Linked DNA regions of Mus musculus. The protein of the gene in region 2 binds, or shares a complex with, the protein of the main gene of each other region. Links are inferred from orthologs where the notes say so. Each region holds a gene or a part of one and is shown on either strand. Other genes may lie near its edges.

The links. Proteins that work in one complex are often made in the same cells at the same time.
Region 1: the proteins of Rev1 (region 2) and Polh are in contact, whole or in part, in an NMR structure (PDB 2LSK), measured with the Homo sapiens proteins. The link is inferred for Mus musculus from reciprocal best matches to the Homo sapiens genes REV1 and POLH. Residues at the interface, in NP_057400.1 of Homo sapiens: Asn1158, Leu1159, Ala1160, Gly1161, Leu1171, Leu1172, Trp1175, Ile1179, Asp1181, Pro1182, Met1183, Glu1185, Asp1186, Gln1189, Val1190; in NP_006493.1 of Homo sapiens: Thr528, Glu529, Pro530, Phe531, Phe532, Lys533, Lys535, Ser536, Leu539.

Annotation. Positions count from the first base shown.
Region 1 is NC_000083.6:46,188,513-46,193,523, reverse strand, and holds part of Polh (DNA polymerase eta), read left to right. Parts: intron 1-2,747; coding exon 2,748-2,917; intron 2,918-5,011. UniProt on the Homo sapiens protein: DNA polymerase specifically involved in the DNA repair by translesion synthesis (TLS). Due to low processivity on both damaged and normal DNA, cooperates with the heterotetrameric (REV3L, REV7, POLD2 and POLD3) POLZ complex for complete bypass of DNA lesions.
Region 2 is NC_000067.6:38,053,875-38,057,575, reverse strand, and holds part of Rev1 (DNA repair protein REV1), read left to right. Parts: intron 1-693; coding exon 694-859; intron 860-1,109; coding exon 1,110-1,312; intron 1,313-1,996; exon of another isoform or gene 1,997-2,051; coding exon 2,052-2,285; exon of another isoform or gene 2,286-2,710; coding exon 2,711-2,831; exon of another isoform or gene 2,832-3,280; coding exon 3,281-3,492; exon of another isoform or gene 3,493-3,579; coding exon 3,580-3,701. UniProt on the Homo sapiens protein: Deoxycytidyl transferase involved in DNA repair. Transfers a dCMP residue from dCTP to the 3'-end of a DNA primer in a template-dependent reaction.

The sequences.
Region 1 (5,011 bases), on a different chromosome or scaffold from region 2:
ATGAAAGCTTCCCTGCCTCCTTTCTGTGCTGCCTAGGCTGTCCTCAGATCCTTTAACCTGCTCCCTAGCTATTGGAACCACAAGGGTACCAGGCTTGTGCTACCATAGATGTGAGGTGTCTATTGTGTTTTGCACTGGAGACAAACACAGGGCCTCCGGTGTAGCAGCAAGTGCTTGTCCTCTAGTACACCTTCAAACCACGTGGGAAGAGGCTGGGGAGGTTGGGCCTGTGATATTGCTCTGTAGGTGTCCTTTCTATTGCTGTGCAGGTACCATGACTAAGGCAACTTACAAAAGAAAGAGATCATTGGGCTGATAGTGTCAGAGGGTGAGTCCATGACTATCATGAGGAGTAAGGAACCAGTCAGGCAGTCATGGTGCAGGAGAAGTAGCTGAGAGCTTATATGCGTGATAACTGCCACAAAGAAGAGAGACCTAACAAGAAATGTCATGGGCATGGGCTTTTGGACCGCAAATCACACCCCCAGGGACACACCTCCTAATTGTTCCTAAACACCAAAGCTTGTACTAACTAGAGACCATGTTTTCAAATATATGAGCTTCTGGGGCCATTCTCATTCAAACCCTCACACCAGTAAAGGCACTTACTGCCTGCTGGCCTGAGCGCAATCCCTGCGCGGTGAAAGCGAAGCCCCGACTCCCGCACACTCTTTATTGACCTCCATGTATGTGTTTTCCCCTGACCTCTAAAATGTTATATATTTTTAAAATTTATTTTTATTTTATATTCATTGGTGTATTGCTTGCATGTGTGTCAGAAGCTCTGGGACTGGAGTTATAGACAGGTGTGAGCTGCCATGTGCGTGCTGGGAATGGAACCAGGGTCCTCTGGAAGAGCAGCCAGTGCTCCCAAAGAGTTAAGGTAGTTTAAGTGAAGCAGGGGAGTTGAAGTGATACAGGAAACTGTTTTGAAGTGGGCTCTGTTGGCTGACTACACAGTAGAAAATGAAAGAATAAAGTTAATGTTAGGTAAATTCTAAGCTTTTATTAAAAACAAGGCATTGGGAGAGGGACCCTTTGAGAAAGAAGCTGTGCTTGATTTTAGTTATGTTGAGTTAGAATGTTTGCACAGTCATAAGCATAAAGGAATTGCTCTGTCAGGAGGTGGCAGGGAGGATGGGCGCTAAAGACCCGAGCTTAGGGTCAGAGAGGGAGGTGTGCGTGTATTCAGCGGGATCAGGTCATGGTCACCAAGGGGAACATACAGAGCGGGAAAGTGTTGCTCACTTGCCATGGTTAGGATGCTGGCAGCAGACATGGCAGCTGTGGAGGGATGCAGTAGTCACTGAAGGGTGGCAAGGTTTCCTCTGCGTGCTCGTCTGACCCATCTTCTCTATGGTGTTTGGACTTTTTCTTCTCCCAGGTATTCTGCCCTATACCTATCTCATTACTGCATCTTTAAACCAACATGTCTGTATTTCCTTTGCTGTGTAATCACATTTTATTCTATTTCACAACTGTGAATTTGTGAATGATCATTGAATTCACTATCATGAATAGTTCTAAACTGAGTTGTAAAGATATTTTTGGTTGGATTTTAAACTACTTATATGGAATCATTCTCTAAAATAATGTAAATACTTAAGTGGAAGTTTAAGCTTGAGTAAATCATGAATGTTTTCTGGGCTTGGTTTTTTTTGTTTTGTTTTTGTTTTTTTTTTGTTTTGTTTTTGGTTTTCGAGACAGGGTTTCTCTGTGTAGCCCAGGCTGGCCTTGAACTCAAAAATCTGCCTGCCTCTGCCTCCCAAGTGCTGGGATTAAAGTGTGCCACCACACCCAGCTTGGTTTTGGTTTTTGAGACAGGGCTTGATAGGCAGACCAAGCTGGCCGTGAACTTGCAGTGGATCCTACTCCCTCTACCTTCTGACTGCTGTGGTTGTAGGTCTGCACTGCCATCCCAGCAATTCTGAGGGTTTCCTAGTGAAGAAGAGTGTTCAAGAGGAAGTTTAAGGAGCCTGACGGTACTGGCAGTTGCACGCCTTTTACCCTAGCACTCTGGAGGCCAAGGCAGGCAGATTGCTGAGTTCACAGCTAGTCTGGGACAGAGTGAGTTCCAGGATAGCCAGAGCATGACCACACACATGGCCTACAGTGACACACACGTGGATAAGATTCAATTTTGAAATGAAGTTGTATATCTTAAGTACCTCTTTTTGTTTTTTTGAGACAGAGTTTCTCTGTGTATCAGAACCCTGGCTGACCTGGTCTCTCTTTGTAGACCAGACTGACCTCAAACTCACAGAAATCCACCTGCCTCTGTCTCCAGAATGCTAGAATTAAAGGTGTGTGCTACCATGTGCAGCCCAAAGTCAAATCATTTTTGCATTGAATGGTAACTATAGCCATGTGCTGCTTAATGTAAGGGATTTGCTCTGGGAAATGTGTCACTGGGTGATTTTATAGTGCAGACTTAGAGAAAGCTAGATCATGCAGCCTACTACATGTTAAGTTTGATGCCATCCGTATACTATGATTTATATAGTATGCCCTTGAGCAAATATTGTGTGATTCATGACTAAAAATAATTAAAAAAAAATGTTAGCTGGGCAGTGGTGGCGCACACCTTTAATTCCGACACTTGGGAGGCAGAGGCAGGTGGATCTCTGAGTTGGAGGCCAGCCTGGTCTATAGTGGGAGTTCTAGAATAGCCAGAGCTACACAGAGAAACCCTGTTTCAAAAAAGCAAAAACAAGCAAACGTCTAAATGTGACCTCTGCTCTTTTCAGAGGCTATTCGGAAACAAGGCTTGCTTCAGTGGCTTGATTCTCTTCAGAGTGATGATCCCACCTCTCCAGACCTCAGGCTGACTGTGGGAGCCATGATTGTGGAAGAAATGAGAGCAGCCATAGAGAGTAAGACTGGCTTCCAGTGTTCAGCTGGAATCTCACACAATAAGGTAAAGGCTTACTGTAGACTTCCAAGAGAAGCATTCATAGTTTTAGTTAAGTACAACAAGGATATTGGTGGGTATTCAGAGTTTGTGTTGAGAGCCACTGTGGGTAATACATGTGTGCCCTTCTGCTCCTGTCTCTCCCTCCCAAAGGTCTGCGATTGTAGGGATGTGCCACGACACTAGCTTTCTTGTTTCCTTGTATGAAATTGCCTGGATATGTTATGCTTCTGTCTCCCTTGTATCTATATATGTGTGTGTGTGTGTGTGTAAAACTATGTTTGTATGATGTATGCATATGTGTTATTACCCCTGTGCTGTACTTTTGAGGCAGGGTCTCTCTCTGAACCTAAAACTATAATTTCTTTGGAGGAGAGGGAGCTATGAGAGCAGCCAGCAGGCCCCAGAGGTCTTCCTGTGTCTTCCCCCTTCAATGCTGGGGTGTTTGCAGGATTATGCCCTGCTTGTTTCAAATGTGCTGGGATTCAAATGCAGTTTGCAGGCTTTAGAGATATGGGGACAATAAGAGAAAGACTGTAGTAAAATTTTAATTTGGACTAGTATTTTTACAATAGGGAACATAGACAATTCTCAGTGTTCCAGGAGAATAATACCTGGTTTTCTAACTAGCATGCTAAAGTGCAGTGAGACTGGGATGTCCATCAGCTCAACCAAGGCTCCATAGCTGAGCAGTAGCTGGCCAGGCTGTTGCCGGCCTTTCCTCCCTCTAACGGAAGGAAAGTTGCTAGCTGCACAGAATAATTTTCTATTTTCTAGTTATATGGAAGGAAGAGAAACAATATTCCTAATGTAATATGAATCATACTAAATATTGTTTTGTTGAAGTTACTAAAGAATTTTACTAACAGTTGGGCATGGTGGTACATGCTTTTAATCCTAGCACTTGGGAGGCAGAGGCAGAGAGGCAGAGAGAGAGGCAGAGGCAGAGGCAGAGAGGCAGAGGCAGAGAGGCAGAGGCAGAGAGGCAGAGGCAGAGGCAGAGAGGCAGAGGCAGAGAGGCAGAGGCAGAGAGGCAGAGGCAGAGAGGCAGAGAGGCGCAGAGGCAGAGAGGTGCAGAGGCAGGTGGATCTTTGGGAGTTCCAGTCCAGCCTGGTTTACATAGTGAGTTCATGTGCAGCTAGGGCCAGATAATAGAGAGACCATGGGTTCTCAATAGCAGTGGTCTTCAATTTATGGGTCATGACCCCTTTGGGGGGTCAAAAGACCCTTTCACAGGGGTTGAATATAGTTTATATATCACACATTTAAGTCACAACTCTTATGAGTAGTAAAGTTAACAGGTATGAAGTAGCAACAAAAATAATGTTATGGTTGGGGTCACTGCATCATGAAGAACTATAGTAAAGGGTTGTAGCATTAGGAAGGTTGAGAACAACTGCCCTAGTGGAACAGAATGTATAGAATGAATACATATATTTATGAACTTTGTTAGAATGGATTACAGGCTAGTCCAGCTTGTCCAGCAATCCTGTTTACCAACAGAAGGTCCAAGAATCTAATAGTTGTTCAGTCCTCGGAGCTGGATGTCTCACCTGGCCTTCAGTGTCTGCCAGAATCCCAACGAAGCTAGCTCTAGTGCCAGGAAAGGAATGGACTTGCCAGTGAGAGCAAGCAGGCAGGGAGAGAGAGCAAGGTTCCTCCTGTGTTCTTTATATAGGCTGCCAGCAGAAGATGTGGCCCAGGCTGAAGACAGATCTTCCCATTTCAAAAGATCCTGATTAAAAGTGGGTCTTCCCATTTCAAATAATTAATTGAGGGGAAACTCCCTCACAGGCATACCCAACCACTTGGGTTTTAGTTAATCCAGGTGTGGTCAAAGTGACAACCAAGAATAGCCATCACAGACTATGTCTTAAAGGGAAGAAAAAGATTCTTACTAGTGAAATTAAGGAATAATCATATGTAGATGTGTATCTGTCTATGGGGGTGGGGGTGGGGTAAACATCTCTAAACCATCCTAATTATTTGTATGTCTGTGTAGGGAGCCAAGGCCAGCCTCAAGCCTCTGCTCGTTCCACACTCACGTCCTTGGACTATTTTAGCATTTTCAAATTTACATGAATAAGAAGTGACCTTAAG
Region 2 (3,701 bases):
AACTTCATCCATGCAGTCCACAGAAGGAAACAGGACTTCTCGTCAAGCCTCCTCATGCTGGTTCTGATAGATTAGATTTGTTACTGTGTAATTCTGTCTTCTGCACAATACTATTTAAATCTTACACGTCCTATTCCCAGCACTTGATGAGCACCCGTATCACTGCGTTCCTGTCCCAGCTCTGTAACTCTACTACTGTAGGGAGACTTTCATCATGCTAAGTAGATAGGTGGACCACTCTGCCATACCCAGCCTGCCAGCTTTAGAGACAAATCCTATTTAAAACCTCATCTGGGGCTGGTGAGACACTTGAGTAGGTACAGGCACTTTGGTTGTCATGGGCCCCCGTGCTTGTACTATACCAGCCTTTCCCCTTTAAATGTAATGAACCCTGTAAAGCACCCAGCACACCTATGGAGTACTGAAATCCACTTGTTTGGGTATTCTGATTTTAAAAGTCTTACTACCCACCACCATGTAAGTAAGTAAGATAAAGCTACTTAACTCACTGAGCCACAAGTTGTTTGAGGGACAACTCATAAGTAAGCTGTTGGTTTGCATTGTTCCAATGGATTCTTTATTCTAGAAACTGGATTGTTGGCAGCACCAACAATAACTGAGAATTTTGTATAGATGAATTCTTACTTTTCACTTTTGTTATTTTAGAAACCTTCTCTTTTATTTTGACTCTAGGTTGGTATTCAAGTGAATCAGTTGGTTCCTGCTAATTCAAATCTTTCCACATGTTCAAGTCGTCCATCAGCTCAGTCAAGCCTCTTCTCTGGTCGGCCACATTCTGTCCGTGATCTCTTCCAACTTCAGAAAGCCAAGAAACCCACAGAAGAGGAACACAAGGAAGGTGGGTGGCCCTCAGTGTGCGGCTGCTTTCTGCTCCACCAAGTCCTCGGGGAGTAAGAAGTTCCATTTTAAATCCACATGGGTCTGTGCCCTTTCATTGCTTTGTTTTAAAAGTAAAATTACATTCTAAATTGTGAATCTAGAACGATTTGTAAGGAAAAGAATGAAGTGATCGGGGTGGAGGGGCTTGGCGATTTCTCCCCCTTCCCATGAGCTAAAGAGGCTGTTTGATTTGTTTCCTACAACTGTAGTATTTCTGGCTGCTGTGGATCTGGAAGTGTCCTCCACCTCTAGAGCTTGTGGTTTATTGTCTCCGCTCTCTGCACATCTGGCAGCTAGTGTTAGTCCTGACACTAACAGTGGAGAGTGTTCCAGAAAATGGAATGGCCTGCACTCTCCTGTCAGTGGACAGTCACGGCTGAACCTCAGTATAGAGGTCCCATCACCATCCCAGGTATGGGTTTTGGTCCTTAAGTCAGTTTTGTACTAAGAACAAAGTGGTATTCTTCCCTTGTTGGTCAGCATACAAAGTCAACTTCATGTCTTACTGTTCTCACTTAAGCTGCTCCCACTTGTGCAGGTTCCCTTGTTTGCTAGTCTGCTTTGTGTCAGGTGTATCCCATCCTCTTTTTACATGAGTTCACATGGGGCGGGGCTAAAGAAAATGAAAATGCTGTCTCCAGATCTAAGGAAAAGAGGCAGTTCTCATGCTTGAGGGAGAAACCCTAATGCTTGTATAAATAAATACCTTTTTATCTTAATACTTTTAAGCCGGGCAGTGGTGGCGAACGCCTTTAATCCCAGCACTTGGGAGGCAGAGGCAGGCAGATTTCTGAGTTCCAGGATAACCAGGGGAACACAGAGAAACCCTGTCTCAAAAAACAAACAAACAAACAAAAACCTTTTAAGTATAGGATGATAATATTTTGGGGGGGGGGGGGATTCTCCCATCTGAAAAGGTATTTTCTGTTGTCCCTTTCCATGGGTGAGTTCTTACTGCAAGGTGTTGTGTGAGTCATATGTGGACTCCCTTGTATGTTACTGACTCCTACTCTGCACTCACCTTCAGACTCGGGCTTCGGTGCCCATCAAGATAGGGTAGGGACTAGCTTTTTGAAGGCCGAGGGTCTGAACTTTTACTGTTCCTGAAACTTTTATTTCTGAGCATCAAGTTCACATTTGGTATTTTACAGATTGACCAGTCTGTTTTAGAAGCGCTCCCACTTGATCTCCGGGAACAAATAGAACAAGTTTGTGCCGCTCAGCAGGGAGAGCCACGTGGAAAGAAGAAAGAACCAGTAAATGGCTGCAGTTCAGGGGTGTTGCCACATCCTGTTGGAACAGTTTTATTACAGATCCCAGAGCCTCAAGAACCTTGTAATAGTGACAGCAAGATTAGTGTAATTGCCCTTCCAGCATTCTCACAAGTACGTTGATGTCAGGGACCTTCAGTCATGCTTTTCTCACCTGTCCTCTCCTCTATCTAATTCCTGAGGAGCTTGCACTTCTGCAGACAGTGGTTGGCACCTCAGCACCAGAGGGAAGAGATGTGGGAGGCAGGTGTTGGTCCCTAAAGATTCTGGAAGACACTCTTTGTTGACTTTACTGGTTCACACAGATCATGAGACCTCCTGAATAGGGGAAGATGCCCAGAAGTGTCCATGTGTTTTTGGCTTCCCATTTTGTAACCGAGTGTCTTGTTCTGATTAGTTAGCACAGAAATTGGATTGCTCATATCCAGTGTCTTGGAAGGTTTTGTCCTAGCTTTGCTGTTTAAGGACCTGTTAAAGTGATTTGAAAACAGTCTAGCTGTCCTCCAGAATTAATTTAGGTGTGACTTTCCTTGTACTAGGTGGACCCTGATGTCTTTGCTGCCCTTCCTGCTGAGCTTCAAAAGGAGCTGAAAGCAGCATATGATCAAAGACAAAGGCAGGGAGAGGACACTACTCATCAGCAGCCAACCAGTACATCTGGTAAGAGGAGAGAACTGTCATGTCCCAAAAAGGGACTAGGGTGATGACATCATTGTGTTATAACTGTTCATCCTAGAGAGTGTCTGAAGTGATCAAGGCAGACGAGTAGCGAGTGCTGTAAGTCACTGCTGGTTGGTACTTGTGCTGGTCTTAGTATTTTTGGATACAAGTCAAGCTACTTGTCCTTTGAGACTGCTGTTTGAAAGAATGTGGGTTCAAAACATGAAATCTCAAAACATGAGTCCCTGAACACACATTTTATTAAACCTACGTAACTGCTAAATGAGAATACGAAGTTGTACAGCTGAGCTCGGAGGACTTTATGCCTTAAGCCACGGCGTGCCTGGCCTTCTTTCCTGCTCTTGGTTGTAAGGGGGGGTTGGAAGGACAAAGAGTCAATGGTATTATTACCTGATTGCATTTTGAGACTCTCATACCTCCTCTTTTAGTGCCAAAGAATCCTTTACTTCAGCTAAAGCCACCAGCAATGAAAGACAAGAGGAACAAGAGGAAGAACCTCATTGGTTCTCCCAGAAAGAGTCCTTTGAAAAATAAGCTGCTTAGCAGTCCTGCAAAAACTCTGCCAGGGGCATATGGAAGCCCCCAGAAGTTAATGGATGGTTTTCTACAACATGAAGGAATGGCTTCAGAGAGACCCCTGGTAACTGGAACAAAATACTGACTGTTACTAGATTTTAATGTACTTGACACTGTCTGAATACAGCATTCTCGTTCACTTCCTCAACAGGAAGAAGTCTCGGCTTCTACCCCTGGTGCACAGGACCTATCTAGTTTACTGCCAGGCCAGAGCAGCTGTTTTAGACCAGCAGCACCCAACCTAGCTGGAGCTGTGGAATTCAGTGATGTGAA